Linked DNA regions of Schizosaccharomyces pombe. Changing the gene in region 3 together with the main gene of any one other region gives a genetic interaction. Each region holds a gene or a part of one and is shown on either strand. Other genes may lie near its edges.

Evidence for each region.
Region 1: of pho7 (region 3) and aps1, changing one suppresses a phenotype caused by changing the other (phenotypic suppression), as found in Schizosaccharomyces pombe (2 studies listed by BioGRID).
Region 2: of pho7 (region 3) and SPOM_SPBC713.07C, changing one suppresses a phenotype caused by changing the other (phenotypic suppression), as found in Schizosaccharomyces pombe (one study listed by BioGRID).
Region 4: of pho7 (region 3) and ado1, changing one suppresses a phenotype caused by changing the other (phenotypic suppression), as found in Schizosaccharomyces pombe (one study listed by BioGRID).

What each region holds. Positions count from the first base shown.
Region 1 is NC_003424.3:198,434-202,039, reverse strand, and holds aps1 (diadenosine 5',5'''-p1,p6-hexaphosphate hydrolase Aps1), read right to left. Parts: upstream 2,003-3,606; 5' UTR 1,806-2,002; coding exon 1,173-1,805; 3' UTR 523-1,172; downstream 1-522. Other genes in the region: SPOM_SPAC13G6.13 (uncharacterized protein), read right to left, coding at 2,809-3,156; chs1 (chitin synthase I), read left to right, coding at 3,325-3,606.
Region 2 is NC_003423.3:877,858-884,101, forward strand, and holds SPOM_SPBC713.07C (polyphosphatase), read right to left. Parts: upstream 4,232-6,244; 5' UTR 3,796-4,231; coding exon 2,062-3,795; 3' UTR 1,972-2,061; downstream 1-1,971. Other genes in the region: adl1 (DNA ligase), read left to right, coding at 1-1,971; MIM complex subunit Mim1, read left to right, coding at 4,603-4,818. UniProt on the Schizosaccharomyces pombe protein: Catalyzes the hydrolysis of inorganic polyphosphate (polyP) chains of many hundreds of phosphate residues into shorter lengths.
Region 3 is NC_003423.3:1,344,588-1,349,963, reverse strand, and holds pho7 (transcription factor Pho1), read left to right. Parts: upstream 1-1,989; 5' UTR 1,990-2,498; coding exon 2,499-4,715; 3' UTR 4,716-4,852; downstream 4,853-5,376. Other genes in the region: protein Cbp4, read right to left, coding at 1,101-1,163, 1,342-1,460, 1,548-1,584.
Region 4 is NC_003421.2:1,349,137-1,352,953, forward strand, and holds ado1 (adenosine kinase), read right to left. Parts: upstream 1,983-3,817; 5' UTR 1,949-1,982; coding exon 926-1,948; 3' UTR 501-925; downstream 1-500. Other genes in the region: dolichyl-diphosphooligosaccharide--protein glycotransferase subunit Wbp1, read right to left, coding at 1-86, 133-262; COG complex subunit Cog4, read right to left, coding at 2,857-3,817.

The DNA.
Region 1 (3,606 bases), on a different chromosome or scaffold from region 3:
AAACTTATGCTGGGATCTAACAGGATTAACGACAATTGTTAGAATGTGAGACAGTGCTATTTAGTTCATTTTTAAAAGAATTGGCTATGACCGTCAAAGTTCTGAAAATAAAAATATATATATGTATTTTCTTCTTGTTTCTTTTTCTAAAAATTTTTTATTCTGATAGCTGAAGCTTTACTAACATAACTGCTAAATCCTACGTTTTTAATTTTGCAGTTTGTTTGGATTTTTAGGTGTGGTTATAAATTGCTTTTATGTACATTTTCACGTTGAACAACGTCAATCAAATATATTAAGTAATTCTCAAATTCTTATATAAGCATTTTGTACGAATATTTATACTAACGGATTGATGTTTGCTATAGTTCGTCGTTTCGCTATCTATTTACTACTAATTGAAAAGTATTTTTTAAAATTATCGCACGTAAGTGTAATGAGCGTCAATGGATTCACTATAATTCATAGCTATATGATTGCTGAAAGCCAATATAAAATTACACGACATATTCAAATTGACACACGAAACTTCTTGGGCTCATTAGTATCTAACAACGAATACGTTTTACCGTATGGAACAATTTTGTTTTTATTAACGTCACTAATCAAAATTGGTTGCAAACAATTAATATGCTAGCAACTAATGTGCTTTTTATGCATAGCACACAACGATAACGATTAACTCGCACCCTAGCATCAAACAGGTGGGATTAGATGATTTTTTAAGGAATGAAACTTTGTTTTAAAAAATTTGAATTATCATGCGATTCAATTGAAAATATATTTATAAATAGAATTAGTATGTTATGCAGACAATGATCTTAATCGAAAATATACAAAGAGAGTAAAAACTTTTAAAAAAGGAAAGAAAAAATAGCAGTTGAACTGCTGGAATATATGCTGTACCGCTGAAATCCTTTAAAGGATATATGTTTCATGAAATGAGCTTTATGTCGAAAACTCAATTTGACCCAGCTTGCTGAAAAAAAAAATAAGAATCAAGATTTGCAAACTTCAAGCCTTTTTAACACACTTGACATGGTAACTAATAGATATAACAATTTCGTAATCCCATGGAAAAAGATAAATATTGAAGCAAGAAATCAAAAAAAATGGTAAATTAAAATATTTGAATAAAAGGTTGCAAATGGTAAACATTATGCATCTGTACTTCAGTTTTCCTCTTTAATGATAGAGCTCTTCTCAAGAGCTGCCAAAATATCTTTACGACTTGTCAACGCTTCCTTTGCTTCTTGATAAGACATCCATTTTCGGCGACGCTTCCTCATCTCTGGGTAATTGTCTTCTAATCTTTCAACAATAACTTCAAAAAATTCACATTCGGCTCTAGGTGGAAGTAATAATTTCTCTGCTTCGGCTCCTAACTCGGTATTGGTTGAGACGTCATTTCCGCTACTTTTTGACATTAATTGCTTCAAATATTTTTTCCTTCTGTCAATAGTATCAGTAGGACGCTTATCCTTGAAAGACCCAAGGGATCTAGTGATATGACCCACTAGTCCGCCTTCTTCCCAACCTTCACGAAGGGCAGCTTGCTGAACAGATTCATCAGCCTCCCATCCACCCTTAGGAACTACCCAAGAAGGATGTTTTTTAGCAGAAGAAACTAATAGGACTTTCCTTTTGTCTGCAGATAAAGCAACAACACCCGCAGCAAGTCTGGCTCCTGTAATAGGATTGAATCGATTTTTCGTTCGACCTTCACGAGAAGTCATTGAGCGGTTCACTGCCGTCCGTAGATGATCCGGCTCCATTAAAATCACACTTCCGTTATTTTCAAGCATATGAACTATAAAGTACTCTTCTTTTCGACAAGTTGAATGGATTTGGTATAATTTCTTGCCTTATGGTAGAGTAAGGAAACGATGTCTGAAAAGGCAAAAGCAAGATGTTCAAAAGAATCTGAGTTCTTTTTGAACAAGGAAGAGATATAAATCTCCTATTCCGATGAATATAAATCGATCGCGAAAAGTGGTTTTCCGAAGGTTTCTCCCAGTGATTTAGGTTGGGATAACGAAATAGTGAAGTACAAACCGACACGCTAAACAGTTGTCGGAGACCAAATAATTTGCGGTGATATTTAAAATGAGAGATTGTATTAGAAAATAGGTAATTTATAATTTTTCAAAATAAATAGCTTGCGAGGAAAATACATTTTCATTTTGTATGCAGTAATCTCCAATTTGCGAAGTTGTTTGTATTCGTAGATTTCGCATCGAAAAATACCCACATTATCAATTCTTTGGACAAAATGAGGCTTTTTAAAAGGAGTACGCTTGTAGAAAATCTGTAAGTCTTAATCTTTTAATACACGGTTTTCGAAGTTTTGCATTGTATTTACTGTTCTGTTGTTCTATCTGATCATTGCTGATTCCTTCACTAACTCTTGATAAGTTGGGCTTTTTGAATCTGATAATATTGATAGTAAGAGAATCAATTAACACTAACCAATTGTTGATGCATTTTAATGTCGAGGAAAATAAAATAAAATAATTTAACAAAAAAAAGATTGGATAATTTAAATTCCCAATATCTGTTTTATTTAAAACAATTATTATAGCGAAAAAAAATGTTTATTATATAAAAAACAATAATTTATACAATTCAACTACTTCTATTACGTTTGGAATAAAAAGAAAATCGTTTAAAATAATAATATATCTAAATAAAATGAGTAATGTTGGAAGAAAATTGGCTTTTCGTTTGCTTTGTTATATACCTTAGCAAGCCATTGTATAAATTGTTATTTTTTAATTTTTTTTATATGAATAAATAATGAGATATGATTTACTTTTTAAGCTTTTGATAAAATTTGTTCATAACATAAACTTTGGTATGTGTATTCCTTCTTATAATTACAGTTGTATTTAGTTTTAACAATACGGAACAAATAATTATTTTTATGTATTTAGATTTGTCATACAATATAGCGAGTAAATGCCATTCTTCAATCATAAAAAAAGTACACTTTAGTTTGTTGCAATCTTCCACCACCTCATCACTTTTTTTTCTTTTGTAAACATTAATCTTCTTACTCTCTTTGTATTTAAATATTAAAAGAGTATAACAATTCCTTCTTTTATAATATTTTATTTTCATATCGTTGGCTTCTACAATCATTGGCAATTGAAACATTGTTGACAAGCATTCAGGGTTAAACAAACCATTGTTTCAATCATTACAACTGTAATTGTCTCCCCAAAATTGATTCTCACTATCATAAACTTGGATGCTGCTTTACAGAAAAAATCTAAGCGTATATTTGATAGAGCGATTTGAGGCTCGTTTCTACGGCTCTTGAAGATGAGAAGGTGGTTCAAAAAAACGCTACCACGCCCTCCTGATGAGGAGGAATCAGCTGGATTAACAAATAAAGATATTGTTGAAACCAATCACTTATATCCTACAATCACCAATTTGTCATTAAACAGTGATACTTCGTCCATTTTATTTGATAAAAATAAAAAACCTCTAAAACCGAAAATCATTATTCCTGATAAAGAATTTGATCTCGATTATTATTTAAAAGATGAAACGGAAAGTATTCAATCTCCATTTGAAGGTTTTACTGCTCAACCAAATTTT
Region 2 (6,244 bases), 470 kb from region 3:
TCTTTTTTCTCAACTGATAGCGTGAACAAAGATTCCACAATTGATTACGATGCTTTACAGAAAGATCCTTTGACTTACGTGAAAAGTTGTCGAGCCCGATTTGTTTCAAAAGATACAAAAAGCTTCAGTTACTCATCACTTGCTAACACCTTTTCCTTAATTAGTTCTACCAAATCCAGGATACGCATTGTCACATTATTAACCAATTTCCTTCTCACACTTCTGTATGCAGATCCTGATTCCTTAATTGCAACAGTTTGGTTATGTACCAATTCTATTGCCCCCAACTTTTATGGAAAAAACCTTGGTGTCGGACCTGCAATGTACTCTAAAGCTTTGAAAGAAGTTTGTGGCATTACAGCAAGTGCTTTGAAAAATTTATGGAACAAATATGGCGATCCAGGAGATGTAGCGTTCGAAGCTAAAGTGTCTGTGCGCACGTTAAGCAGACCAGAACCTTTGACTATTAAGAAGGTTTATTCTACTTTACTAAAGATTGCTGACAGTAACGGTAATGGTGCCCAGAACCGTAAATTAGAGTTAACTAAATTTTTATTGATAAGTTCTAATGCTGAGGAGGTTCGATATATAGGGAGGAGTATAATGCAAAATCTAAGAATAGGGGCTGTTCAAAACACCATGTTAGCTTCACTAAGCAAAGCTTTTTTTATTTTTGACAATCAAAACGAAATATTTAATTTTAATTCTGACTCACTTCAACAACAATTTCGTCAAGGAGAAGAGATTGTTAAACAAAGTTTCTTTCAGGTCCCTGATTATAACATTTTGGTTGCAACCCTTCTTCGAGAGGGGATAGAAAACTTAAAAGACAATATGTCTATTCGCCCTGGAATCCCAGTAAAACCTATGCTTGGTTCTATCACAAAGAATTTGCAGCATATGTTAGAAAGATTGACTGATCATAACTTCTCTTGTGAGTTCAAGTACGATGGACAAAGAGCACAAATTCATTGCGATAGACTTGGAAACATTAAGATATTTAGCCGCCATTTGGAGGAAATTACAGGAAGATTTCCGGATGTCATTGAAGTTGCTCAATTAGCATTGAAACATTCATGTGATTTTATTATAGAAGGCGAATTGGTGGCTATTGACAAAAGTAATGGTCAGATACTGGATTTTCAAAAACTTTCAACTAGAGAAAGAAAAAAAGTTACAGTGGCTGATATTACAATAGACGTGTGTGTTTTTGTTTTTGATATTATGTTTTGTGATGGGAAATCTTGCTTACAAATGCCTTTAATTGAAAGAAGAAGAATGTTTTTTGAGCATTTTAATTTAATTCCAAATCGCTTTCAGTTCGTGTCTTCTTTGGAAACAAATGAGGAGCAATCCATTCAAGAATTTTTTAGTCTTGCAATTACTAATAAATGCGAAGGATTAATGGTGAAGGTACTGAATGGAACAAACTCAAAGTTTCCTTCAACGTATGAACCTGATAAAAGAGGTGAGGGATGGATTAAAGTCAAACAGGATTATGATGATGAATTTGAGTCATTGGATCTTGTTCCCATAGGCGCTTGGTACGGTAATGGAAGAAAAGCCGGATGGTTCAGTCCAATTTTGCTTGCTGTTTACAATCCAGACACTGGCGCGTATGAAGCAGTCTGTAAATGCATGTCCGGTTTTAGTGACCAATTTTATAAGGAATTAACACAAAAGTATTCCTTAGAATCTGGCAATAGCAGTCTTAAACCCATATATAATTTTTGCGAAACAGGTAAGGTAACTCCACAAATATACTTTGCCCCTCAAGAAGTTTGGGAAATTAAGGGTGCTCAAATAACATCCTCACCTGCATACAAGGCGGCTTTGGGATTAATTCAGGATGATCGCGGTTTATCAATTCGATTCCCACGCTTCATTAGAGTTCGGTCAGACAAAGGACCAGAGGACGCATCCACGAATTCAATATTGGCTGACATGTATATGAAACAACTTAATACTTGATGTTCGTGATGAACTCAAAATGTCAAGGAACATCGTTGATTGTATATTAAATAAATATTATTAAAGGTATGGCAACAAATATATCAATCATCAGTCCTCAAAATCCGATATTGAACCAATATACGCATGCCAAAGATATGTATAGGCTATCGGACAAATAGATGGCTTCTTCTTTTTAGAAATTCTAAAAGTGTTTTGATCGCCACTCTGTAATTTGAATTGATGAGGATCTTCTGGTTTGTCACAAGTTGCTATTCTTTTTGCTAGACGCATATACTCTGGCACAGTTAAATCAGGCATATTATATGGAGAGTCCTTCGAAGTATATAGCAATTCATAAGAAATTTCGGTATCTTTCGTTGCATCCATGTAATTTGACGTGTTTAAGAAATACTGCTTAAATGAAATAGGAGTAAAAAGTGACGGAACGTATGCCGGTCCCAAAGGACCGGGCTTAATATTCTTCCTCTTGTTCTTCTTCTTTTTTTTATTATTCTTCTTTTTTTTCTTCTTTTTCTTGTCTATCTCATAATCTGATTGAGACTGCTCTTCAAGCGTTTCCCAGTTAAAAGAAGTGATTTCAGTTAGCTCTTCCCGATCATCCAGCTGATTAGCAATATCAGAAATATTGTACTCGTAAACGCGAAAAGTTGGAAACATTTCAGGTATAATCGAACCACCAACGGTAGCCAAGGAGTAATTCCCGACGGTTCCATTAAGAAACTCCTCTGTTAAATTCTCGGGAAATGTAGGAAGCTCCGCGTATTGGGCATCAATTAAAGATTTTACATATTTTGGTTGCGCACTTTTGATTCCATAAGATTCTGTATCAACAGGTAACTTATCGAATTCCAAAAACACAAAATGGTTTATGTTCATATGACCATAGAGTTGTCCAACTATAATATCTCGAAACTCATAAAGCAAATCCGTAAAAGAAGTATAACAATCTTCATACCACTGGCCCCTTGTAGGGGGAATATGTCCTAGAAGCCAAACTTTCATTCCCTTTAGCCGATACGCTTCAAGCTGTATTTTGAACCATCGCATAAAAAGAGAACCAGGTTCGTCTAGATTATCATCAGGACAACCATCGACCGCGGCATTTTTGTTTGATAGGTAAAGAGTGTTAATGGAAATTGCTGCTAGCTTGTCCGGAATCACATCACATAGGTAATAAGAGCCCTTTTCAAAAGTGTGTCGTTCCTCATAAGGAATTAAAGCATCCCAAGCACCAGCTAGTTGTCGAGTCATTGAAGATGGACCAGCTTCCATAATGTTATGAGGATATATATCATTATTCCCGATAGCGGAAACAATTGGAACGTCAGGAAACGCCTCTATCATTTTATTAACCAAGTCCTCATTTGAAGCAAGAATTTCACTTTGTGTTCTTGGAAAATGGTTATCATTGTCATGCCTAGAATTATCACCAGTCCACAGTATGAAGTCAATGCCTCCCAGAACATCATCTTGATGTTCCTTAAGCCATTCCAATGTCTTATCAATTAATGCTGGTGAAGAATCACATTCATAACCAGGACCAGGAGAGAGGTAACCCACTTTGCTTTTACCCAAGGGAGTATCGTCAGAATTATGATCATAGGAATGACAATAATGATCGACGGTGGATCCTTTTTCGTAATAAATGTCAGGATGCATATCGGTGATATGCAAAAATCTACCAACAAGTGGTTTTCCTTTGCTATTAACTAAATCATTTGTATGCGCTTTATTTCGCATACTCATAGGGTTGCCAAATGCAAAAGAAGCCCATGTCGACTGTACAAAAAGAACAGCAACCGTGATTACAGAGGGACGCATTCTAAAAAGAAGGAAATCGGTATATAAAAGAAAAAAAAACTTTACCTAAGTAGAAAAAAAGAGGACACTTCAGACTAGGACGAAATTTTCCAAAATCTGTAATACAATTTCCCAGGCAATTTCAAAAACAAAAAATGGTGTTTGAAAGATTCAAGGGCTTTTGAACTCAGTACAACTTAAATAAATCAAAATTTCCCAGTAGCCGTTAATGAAATAAGTATTGTTAATCTGTTTGACAAAAAGATCGATCTAAATTAAGATCACGAGCGGGTAGTCATGAACCGAAGTCCTGCAGAGTCAATAGAAGTTGCTTCTGAGCTTTGCAAACCCCAGAGAACACTTAATTTGGGTTTGGACTATTCGATGCTCGTAATGGAAGCAGTTAAAAGATCCGTGATACTCTTCCCTAGTGAAGACGAATGTTGTGTTCACCGCTATATATGTATGATGAAAGATGTCGCATTTTATATTTTGTCAGAGCTTGCATTACGGTATTAGTTACTAACTTAATTTCGTTAAATGAATAAGGAGGAAAGTGTTTTGCTCATTAACCATTGTCCTGACGCCTTAAAGCGTTGACAGCATCTAAGAACGGGACACTCGTAATTTTGATTGGGAATAAAGTATCCTTCCACATATACTTGCCCCATCAACTCAGTTGATTCTTAATAATAGAATTTACGCCAAAAATATTATTCGTGCAATTGCTTTGAAAGTTGATATAAAAACTTCTCTAAAGGAGTTATTTGAAAATTGTGTTGATTACCGGTTGGTTCGTTTCGTTATAGTATTTGTTGGACAAGCAGGATGGAGAAAAATACAGTTACAGTTCCAAAAACCTTGTTTTCACAAGTTATTCATATTTTCAAGTATGCGGCAATTAATTTGGGCCTTCCTTTCTTGAATGGAGTTATGTTGGGATTCGGGGAGATCTTTGCTCATGCATTTATCCACTCTCTTGGTTGGGCTCCAGGTCATACTAGGATTTATTCTATTCAAAGACATCAGTATATTCAAGCCTAAAATGAAGCATAGCTGTGCGAGGAAATTTATCTTTAATATTTGAGGGAAATGGTGTTTGCTTATTCGTGATTTTTTTATTTTTTCATTTTAAGCTGAGGCGAGTATTCATAAAATTTGAGATACTCGAATGCTTAACTCATGTTTCTCTCAGATGTATTATGGTTTCAGCTTTGCACTCTCTTTAATGATCGTTTTCTTTAGTTTTATTGTTTTTATTTTCTTTTCCCACAATATTAAGAGCTTCTTTGGCACAATGCAAAGAATATATATGCTCAAGGGATGGAAAACGAATTAAGCCCAAATGAATTGTGTTTATATTTGCAAAATAACATTTAATTTCCTTTGCATTTAATTTATTTATGATCGTTTTCCTTGAGCTTCCTTCTTCTGTTTTTTAAGTATAATTACTTTTGATTTTATTTATGCCCTTTATATTAACATTATGTGACACGTTATACATCGCTTCTTCGGACCGACAAATTGATTTGAGTAGCATAGTATAGAAAAAGGTGTCAACGAAGATTTATATGAGCTGTGAGACAAGTATCGAAGCTATCATCATTGTTTAAAATTGTTCATTATTTTTACATTACTTTGATTTGAATGACAGTACTACGCTTTTTGTTGTTTTCCTCATCACATCGCTTTTTTAAATAATTGTTATTGTATTCGAACAACGATAGTGCTCTAACTTAATGACTAAAACACGCTTATTTGTAAAGGCGTGTAAGTATTACTATTCTCAGAGCAACAAATCTCAACTGATTATAAATTGATTGCACAGCCCATTGATTCATTAGAATTTTACAGGTTATTTCTGTCGTTGCTCAAGCTTTGAAAAATATACTTTTGAATGATTCTTAAAACTTACATTATCGCATGCTTGGTACACTCGGTTGGCTTTAATGATGTTATAAGACAATTTCAAGTTTGATGATACAAAAAAGGATTCTGATCCTCGAACTGAATCTTCTTGTTTATGCATAAAAAGCAGATACCGACTACTTAAAGTCAGCAAATCTGAAAAAATAAATTATCATTAAATTTTTGTCAAATTTACGAATACTGACTTCACAATTTGCTATATAAACTTGAAGATTTATTGCATTAGCCAACAAGAATACTATATTTCTATTTTCTTCCAAGATGTAGCATGGACAAACCTAAACAGTAGTCGTTCTATATTTTATAGCTATTTAAATAATTAACTATATTACCCATCGCACAGAATTACATAGCATATTATTTAAATCTTGGATATACGCTCTACAAGCATTGCTATACACTTTCAGTGGTTTTTAAAAACATGTATTAACAGGATTCCAAGCAAACTTTAGTACGCATCCAACACAAATAGGAAGTCTACGATCACACAAATTACAGCGATATAGAATTTCGCGAAAAGAATAAACCATTAACTCAAGTA
Region 3 (5,376 bases):
CTCAATTAGTTTATTCAGCATACAATACTAGTACTAGTTCATATGATATAACAATTTTTAAATACAAAAATTCAGTAATATCCCTAATGTTCAAGTGTTTATCGAATACTTGATGTTAAGCAGTAGCAAAAAATGCTACTACCGAAATACATGGTACATACGCCAATGGTTTTGTCGCCTCCATTAACATAAAGAATTTAGCAAGGGCTTTTACATTATCAAATACATAAAGAGTTTTTCAAGCATTTTTTTCCATTGAAGAATCGTGCGTTAGTATTTCATAATGGTGAAGCAAACAGCTGTCTTCAAGACAACAAACTGTACAACACGCTTCCTCATGAAAGACACCAGCTGAGTATTCAATCATCATTCTCTTTGTAGATTTAAGAATATATCTATATTACTTATCGTTTTCGTCAAATCATTTTTTCAAACGTTTCATATGAGTATATTAGCAAGTAAACAATCAATACTTTTGGGAAATAAGCCTCTCAAAATACCAGAATGGGCGAGGTATTTCATTAAAAGTTTCGTTGACGATTTCAAAATGAAAATGTGTTTTTTGTTACAAATACGTGGAAATGGGGTGTTTACCTATTGGATGTATTCTCGTGTATTTTGAGAAAGAAGTACCAAAATTTAAAGTGAGGAAACTAAAGACTTATTTCGCTTTCAAAAGAGCTGAAGTTGCTGGATGCTTACAAGTCTTCCATTTTTATTGATAGTGGGCTTGATATGAGTCAAATCAGGCAAAAGTAATATATACACTGTTGAAAATACAACGGTCTGATAATAGTCATTCATTATCGTTCATATCCATAATCAAATGAATCATTAATTTTCAAATAAGCACAAGTTACGTTTTTTTGTTTTGTAAGGTTTTATACGAATACGCGATAGATTAAGTGAAAAAAAAAAAAAAATCAGAAATCATCAATAGTAGCACGATGAAGAAACAAGAAAATTGAAAATGACCCATCAATGGGAAACGCTCGTTTTTTTGTAAGTCCTAGGAAAGTAACTTTTAGATATATATTTGAGAGAGGAAGATCGAAACATTGAGATGATAAAATTAAAATGAATTGAGTAAGAATACTCGCTTAAACAAGGTTTTTAGGATTTCGTTTTGCGTCTTCAATCATTCGTAAAACACCTTCGGCTTGCTACTCAAAGTCAGTTTCATAGAATACGAACAAAAACCATTGAAAGCAAACACCACGTTTGAAGAAGGTAAAGGGAAATATTAAGGAAGACTTAATATTCTCTCTTTTGTGGCACCCCCAAACCCACTTCAGAACCTGGAGCAAACAGTTTTAAAAAAGATTCGCTATGTATACTTACTGATCGATCTTTTTTGTTCATTTCATAAGAAGCTCGAAGATCCGGTGGAAGTGAATTGACAACTCGTTCGGGAGATGGAGTTGTTAATTTCATTGTCATATAGCCAAATCCAACGATTCCTATTTTATATACTGGTAAGTAACACAATCTTAAGTTCGGGATAGAATCTTTTCAACTAAATCGATCCTATCTCAAAATGTCCATACCAACACCGTATACGATACTTTTAACCACACGATTCATGCTTTAGGTACAACAATTCAAAATGGAGTCTGCAAAAAGCAAACAATAATAAAGGTTGTAATACAGAGAAAAAATAACAGTAAGTATAGGCTCTTGACAGCAATGCTATTGCAGACACAGATGTTATGTAAGGCACCCTATACGTGCTATATAGACGTTCCATGGATGGTTGGCCGGTTTGCAAGGCCTTGTGAAATACGCTGTATTCCGTTATTGATCTTTATTATTTTAACAGAACAGAGCGCTGTTTCGCTAAGATTGTCGAAAAAGGTATCTCCCCGCAATGCGGTGGTAGCTTAAATATAAGGTTTTTTAAGGTAAAGTGTTAAAGGCGATTACTGCGCTATGCCCCACCACCCTGTACATGCTAATTTATTACTGCTGCCACCGCTAATCAGATCTGTCGACTTCGCCCTAACACGATAAAAGAAAATCTCTCATCTTTGTCAGGAATTCATCGTTCAAGTGTTTACAAGTGATATTAAATCTGTAAACAGTTATACTGCTTTGACGAGATTGAGCTAAAAATTTATCATTGTTACCCCCCGCGTTCGTGTCATATCAGCACCTTTGATTTGAAAAAGTGTTGCTCAACTGCGGTTTTTTTCAAAAGAAAAGTACCAAGTTGTTGATCATAAAGGATATTTTTACGCGTGATTGTTTTCTTTCTTATTCTTACACAACGATCTTAGTATTCCAAACGCATTTATTCTTCTTCCATATATAGCCCATATCTCCATACTGATTCACAAAAAGCGACGAAAGTGAAGGAGCCATTGATTTAGGGATTTTGGTACTTTTCATTGTCTCCAATTCTTTTGTATTGCCTTTTTGTAACCTAAATTTTCTTAAGACGAAGGAGCATTTGTTTAAGGCTTTACTTTTATCATATTTCTTTTGTCTTTTTCGTTTGTATGCAGAAGAAAGTCGTTCAGTCTGCTTCTAAGAATGAGGAGCTTGATCCACATTACAAGCGGTCCTCCGTTCCTTTCCCTTATGGATTACCCGATTACGATGCAGAATATCAATTCATCAATCATCATATGCAACAATTGCTTACCCGCCCAGTAGAAGGTACTCATTCTGCCTCTGTACATCCCTCCACATCTTCCACCTCTCATATCTCTTCTCCCTCTGCTTTTTCAGTGCAAAACCCAAATCCAAATGATGCTCCGTTTGTGGGAAACATTGGCTTGGATGCATCTGGGTTTTCCTCCGGTGGCATGAGTGAATACTATCCAAGATCTGTTTCTATGCAACAGTCTCAAGACGTCCATTTCCAAAATACCGAAATTCCATACTACCATCGTTCTCCATCGTCTGATAGTTTTTCACCTGGGGTGGTTGCATCTGTTAACCCTAATTCAAACAACTCTCCTACTTTTTACTCAAATCCTCCTGCATTATCTAATATTCCGATTCCCTTAAACAACTCTCCCTATCGTCCTGAAGATGCTTATTTTCAGTTACAAGGTGCTGGAGTGAAGGCAGACATAAATCCATACAACTTGTCTCCCTATTCTCAATATGGTCCAGAGGGCACTGCATATTCAAATGCGCAAGCTCATCATCAGGATGGTGCTCCTTTGCAGCGCGTTTGTTCAGCACCCGATCCTCCTAAAACCTCTATGCCACCTTTTGGATCCGCCGGGAGTCCATCTCCTAATCGTAGTTTAAACGTTTCCAACAACACGACTCCTCCTCTTTCCACTGTGAATAAAATTATAAAAAAGCCTAAAGCTACTACCGGTAAAGTTAAGAAAAGACTTCCTCAGGCCAAGAGAGCTTGCGCAAAGTGTCAAAAAGACAACAAAAAATGTGATGACGCTCGTCCTTGTCAGCGTTGTATTAAAGCCAAAACTGATTGCATTGATTTACCCAGGAAGAAACGGCCAACGGGAGTTAGAAGAGGCCCTTATAAAAAATTGAGTGATACTTCGAACAACACCAAGTCAACTACTGCATCTTCTGGTCATTCCACGCAAGATTCTCTCAGTTCTAAAATGTTGGATCCTTCAAGTGACAATCAGTTTGCCATGTCTTCCAGACAGATGGATGAAAACGGAATGGCCCAGTATCCTTCCTCAGCTATTAAACAAGAACTAAATCTTCAACCCCAGATACTTGTTTCATCTGCTTCAAAGAACTTTCAACCTAATGTCACTCCTCCTTTTGCTGTCCATCATGATCATTTCAATTCAACATCAATGGATGGTGTGGCGGTATCTAACATGGACGAAACTGGAACTTCCTCAGCTGGTTCAAAGCCTTTTAATCGAAAATCTCGAAACCGAAGTTTTACTAATCCAGTTGGTATGACCGAGGAGCATTTTCTAAGAGAATATGCGCAACACTCTGTAGCTAATCCTTCTTTGCTAATTCATCAGATCCATGGTTTACCTTCTGAACAAGTCCATGGCTTATTATCTCATACGGAACTCGGTAATGCAATGCATAATCAACCGACGTATAACGAAAGCTCAATTGCCGCTGAGAATGTGAACAATTGGATGTTAGAAACGAATGACCACGAAAATTTGTCCATGCAGAGCCATTTTGAGGTTCCCGATTTAAAAATGAACCATCACGATTCTAGCTTTTTTGACCGTCACATAGACCAAACGGCTATGCCTGGACAAAATCAACATGGTACTGTTAAGAATATGGAAACAATGCACCATTTTTATCCAGACGTTCATAATTCGGAGTTTCCTGCTGCCCCAAATCCCGTCAAGTCTCAAGTTCCTTATTATTATCAATCCCAAGCTGCTGATGATGAGGAAGAAGATGTACCGGATCATCAACCTTCTTGGCGTGGGAGAATACACTCGTTTTCAATAGCTACTGATTCGTCACAGCATGTGGTAGAAAGACCATGTATCCATTCATTAAGAGGAATACATGGACAACAGGATGGCGGGCTTGAACAACATGATGGTGATCATGTGAATATGCTTCCTGATACCCATGCGGAGGAGCTAGCGTACACATCCATGCTTTTATTTCATGATATACCTACACGAGACATTAGACCCGACTTTAACGTTCATGAGCTAGTCGATCATGGAACCTATCCTAACTTCCATCAAAACCAAGCCGATTCATTCAAGAATCATCCCTTTAGACAATAATTTTGCGCATATTACCTTTGTTTTTCTCGTTTCTTATTTTGTTTTTGCATTTGAGTGTTTCTCAGTAGATTGACCTACACTATGAATATTGTCAGACGACAGATCATCTTATGATCAAACGTAAGACAATGTGAAAAAAAAAGGAAAATGATTTTTTACTCCCATTTATTACTTTTTTTTTACTCTTCTCTCTCTCTTTGCCAAATTGCCATCTGGACCTATCTTTCTAATATCGGTCTAGTAATTTTGATATACTATGGATGCCCTTTTTGTCTTGTATTCTGCTTACATTGATTAAGAATGTTTTATCTTTCGTTTTCTTTGTGTCTATTTATATTTATTTTTGGGTATATTTTGGGAAAGAAAGTCGTTTTGGGATAAATGTGATCGTACAGATGACGAAAGAAGTTACTATATGTGATTTTCTAAGTATTTGTACCATTTAAGTGTGTCGTTTTCTTATTTTTACTGCTATTGTTATAAACGTTTTGTTATTTAGCCTATTGTGCATTCAACTTTCATTTGCTTCTTTTTCCGTTTTAGAGTTTGTAAAGAGATTTTTGTCATTATTAATCTTATTAATTTATACCAGTTTGGATATCCTGGTATAATGGCTTGACATTACACTTGCATTCATTCGTTGTGAATGTGATAAACACGA
Region 4 (3,817 bases), on a different chromosome or scaffold from region 3:
CAAGTTGTCGTAAAGACGTTCACCATATTCAAATAGCTTTGCACTTTCATCTTTGATGTAAGAAGTTTTCACATCAAAATCTCTGTCTACATAGTAACAGTTAGTTACTGAACGCGTTAGTCAATATCGTACCCGTAAGTGATTGTAAAAATGTGCTATATCCACCGATATCATGGTCGGCAACAGCCAAAACCGTCTGACGAGCTGCTTGTACTAAAAGCGACCATGTAAGGGCCAAAGCAATACACAATGCGCTCTTCATCGTAGCTGTGTTTCCAAGTGCAAATGTTGGTAGAAGAAGAGATCACTGGTATTAACCAAGCATAGCTACCTCCGCATACTGGTGCTTATGGGATTGCGTTGAACTAATTAACGATATTTTTATAAGAGCATTCAAAATAACGCTAAACTACTTTCAATAACATAAAGACACGTAAAAATTTACTCAACAGTACACTATTATAAAAGTAATTCGTCCAATTTTTATTTGAAATCCTAAATTCCATCGATTGAAATGAATTTAAATTCTTTATATTTCTATTCAACAAAGAAATATTCTCGGTAATAAAATCAGCGTTAGCTTAGCTCCCCTCAGCAATGCTTTATTTAGCAAATTTCTTAACATTGGAATAAATGGCATATACAAATCCCTCAAGAAGTCAAAATGGGTTATTTCCTTGCAATATAATATCCAGTTATTTATATCAGCTTAGCAAAAATAGACTTGTTCTATTAGCTTATAACAATGATACGACAGAACCCATGACATATCAATAAGATAACAAAATATCAATGTCAAAGAATAAAGCCTGCTTTTCTAACTAATTGCAATCATAGTGTGCACAATTTTTAAAGTTAAACATCTAATTAAAACGAAGTGCGTTATCTACGTTGACAGTTTAAAAAATCACTAAAATGCAATAGTCTAAGGTAAAGGGAACTGCTTTTTGGGAAGAGGAAGAGTAGTGCCGCTAACCTTGATGCATTCTTGTCCAAGCCAATGACCGAGAGTAACAGCATAATCGATTCCTTGGCCTTGAGAAAGAGCAGCAATAAATCCACCAGCAAAGGCATCTCCGGCACCATTGGTATCGACGATTTCCTCAGATGGGACGCGGTTGGGCTTGTAAGTGGTTACTTTACCGTCTTTAGCAACGATCGTGGCATCGGCTCCTTGAGTAATGACAACAACACGGGTGCGTTTCTTGTTAACCTTCTCAACAGAAGACAAGGCCAGCGCAATCTCCTGGACGTCGGTACTTTTGATTCCATGATTCTCCCCGTAGCTAAGGATTTCAGCTTCGTTGCCAATAACATAATCACAATATGGGATAACGGAATCCATTTGCTCCTTGAAAAATTGAGAGAGGAAAGGAGCGCTAAGATTCATGATATAGGGCTTGTTATTCTCATTAGCATGTTGAGCTAAACATAACATGGATTCGGGACTGACGGTCAAGTGAAAACCACCGACGTAAATAACCTTTGCTTCCTCAACGAACTTCCATACATTCGGCTGTTGCAAGTCCTTGAGCTTGTAGTTGTTAGCAGCTCCCAAGTTGGTACAAAGGGAGCGATTTTTATTGTTGTTGCTCAAGACGACAGCACAAACACCAGTAGGTGTAGTGGGATCAACAGAAAACTCAGATCGTAATCCAGCTTTTTCGTTCGATTCAAGAAGCATATCAGCAAACTTATCTTGACCAACGCAGCCGGCGAAAACAGTAGAGTTAGGAGGAAGTACGTATTGAGCAGCACGGCAGCTGTTTTGAGCTGCACCACCGGCACTGTAGCTAACGCATGGCTCCTTGTAGATACCCATCTGGCTCTCAGAAGCTAAGACGGCGTCGTTGCTCTTCAAGCCATACTTTTCAAGAGTTGCAGTTTCACCACCAACATAGTAATCCAACAGAGGGTTTTCCAAACCAAACAAGATGTATGAAGACATGATAAATGATTGTAGTAAGGGAAGGGAAAAAGTTAAAGAAAAACCACGAGAAAATACACCAACAGGTAAAGTATCTTAATGTTCAAAGAGCGATATTATGGCATAATTGTAATGCGTTATATTATTAATACTATACTGCGTTAAATATCGATACATGCCATATGGTCTGTTTATCTTTCGCTATATATTGTATGGTAAAGGCATACTATTTTTAATAAACTATTAAAATTTGAGCAGCTAAAAAAATTATCAATATAAGCATAACTGTACAAGCATCCTCAATTTCAGTTATTAGCTATATTGGTGAAAAATATAATACTATGTAACTGAAGATTGACAGTGTATGTTACTTATTGTACCTGTATACTGGAATTCTAGGTCACAACTAATACTCATCGCAATTTTAACCTTCATTAAACTGATTGCAAACTGCATAATTAAACGATATAAACTGTATCACACTCCTTTGCGCCTCGGTATATTATAATCACAATACTTATTTAAGAAGGCCGATCACGAGAAAAATTAGAACTAATAAAGATTAAAAGAGTCGATATTTGATGCTATATACAATTGGTCATGAATATTAACTCCATTCCTGTATTATTTTTTTAACAAAGGGGTTGCTTCAACTTTTAGCGGAAAACTTATCAAAGTGTGGAAGAAATAATAAACTAAGATAAATGATGATCGAGTTGCACTGCGTCAGGGTAGCCGGTTGTCAAAATTTTCAATATACGAATAAAGAAATAAAAACAAAAATAGAGTGAAAAAAAAATAGATATCGGCATCATGCTAAACGTGGAGACGATGATCCGCCGTTTTTTAGGATAAATTTAGGATATGACAGGAGATTACAACTAAAGAACTTTTGGTGCTTCTTCAAATATCCTGAATAAAAAAGGTCGTTAATCTTCACCTTGAACATTCGCTTTCTTTTCCATAATAGCGCTAACAATATCTATGGATAGTAGCTGTAGGTTTAAATCGTTGATCAATTGCTCTGGGGCTGTAGAATCACTTTCCCATACTAATAAGATTAGAATTTCTTGCAAACGCTCAAAGCTATGTCGGAGATTAGCTTGATCATTGGAAAAGATAGTAATTAAGCTAGAAATGTCGTTTTCTAATGCCATAGCACCATAATCATTCCACTGAATCTTATATAGTATGAGGTTTTCTATATAACTTGCAGCTTTCTCGCATGCCATAGAGCGTAAAGAAAGCTGATTTTCAGGAGTAAATTGCTCCAGCAACAAAACCCTGTCCCAAACGCTGCGAAGACGGGTAACTACCAGTCTTTCATGTTCTGTCTCCTTCGTATAGTCTTCATAGGACAAGACATAGTTGATTCCATCAAAGGAATCATCGATGCATTGCTCAATTCGGGGTAATAAAAATATCGGAAAGTACATGTTGAAAGAAGTCTTGCAAAGATTTTCAAAATTAACGGTTAGCTGCAAAAAATTATCAATCGATTTCTTTACCAATTTTTGGTCTTTGGCAAAGGCAAAAACTTCTTCCAACCGACTAGAAACACCATCCACAATTGATTTTAGATATTGCTTGCTGAGTGAAGCACTATTTACCAATGTTATGTAGTTTTCGACTTGTTTGGCGGGAATGCTATTTGCATTCTTTAGCCTCTGGAACTGAGCTTTTATAATGTTACAGACAGTTAAAAGATTATGGGAAAGGTAGACATAGTAATCATTTCTTAAAATAGGGATTAAGCTTTCGTTAACAAATCTGGTGAAGAATAAAGAGGAGACTGTAAAAAACGCACGTTGGAATACTTGCTTCGTAACGTACATGACATCGTCTACAATAGAGCTCATCCATGGGGAAACCTTTGTGTAATATTCCTCA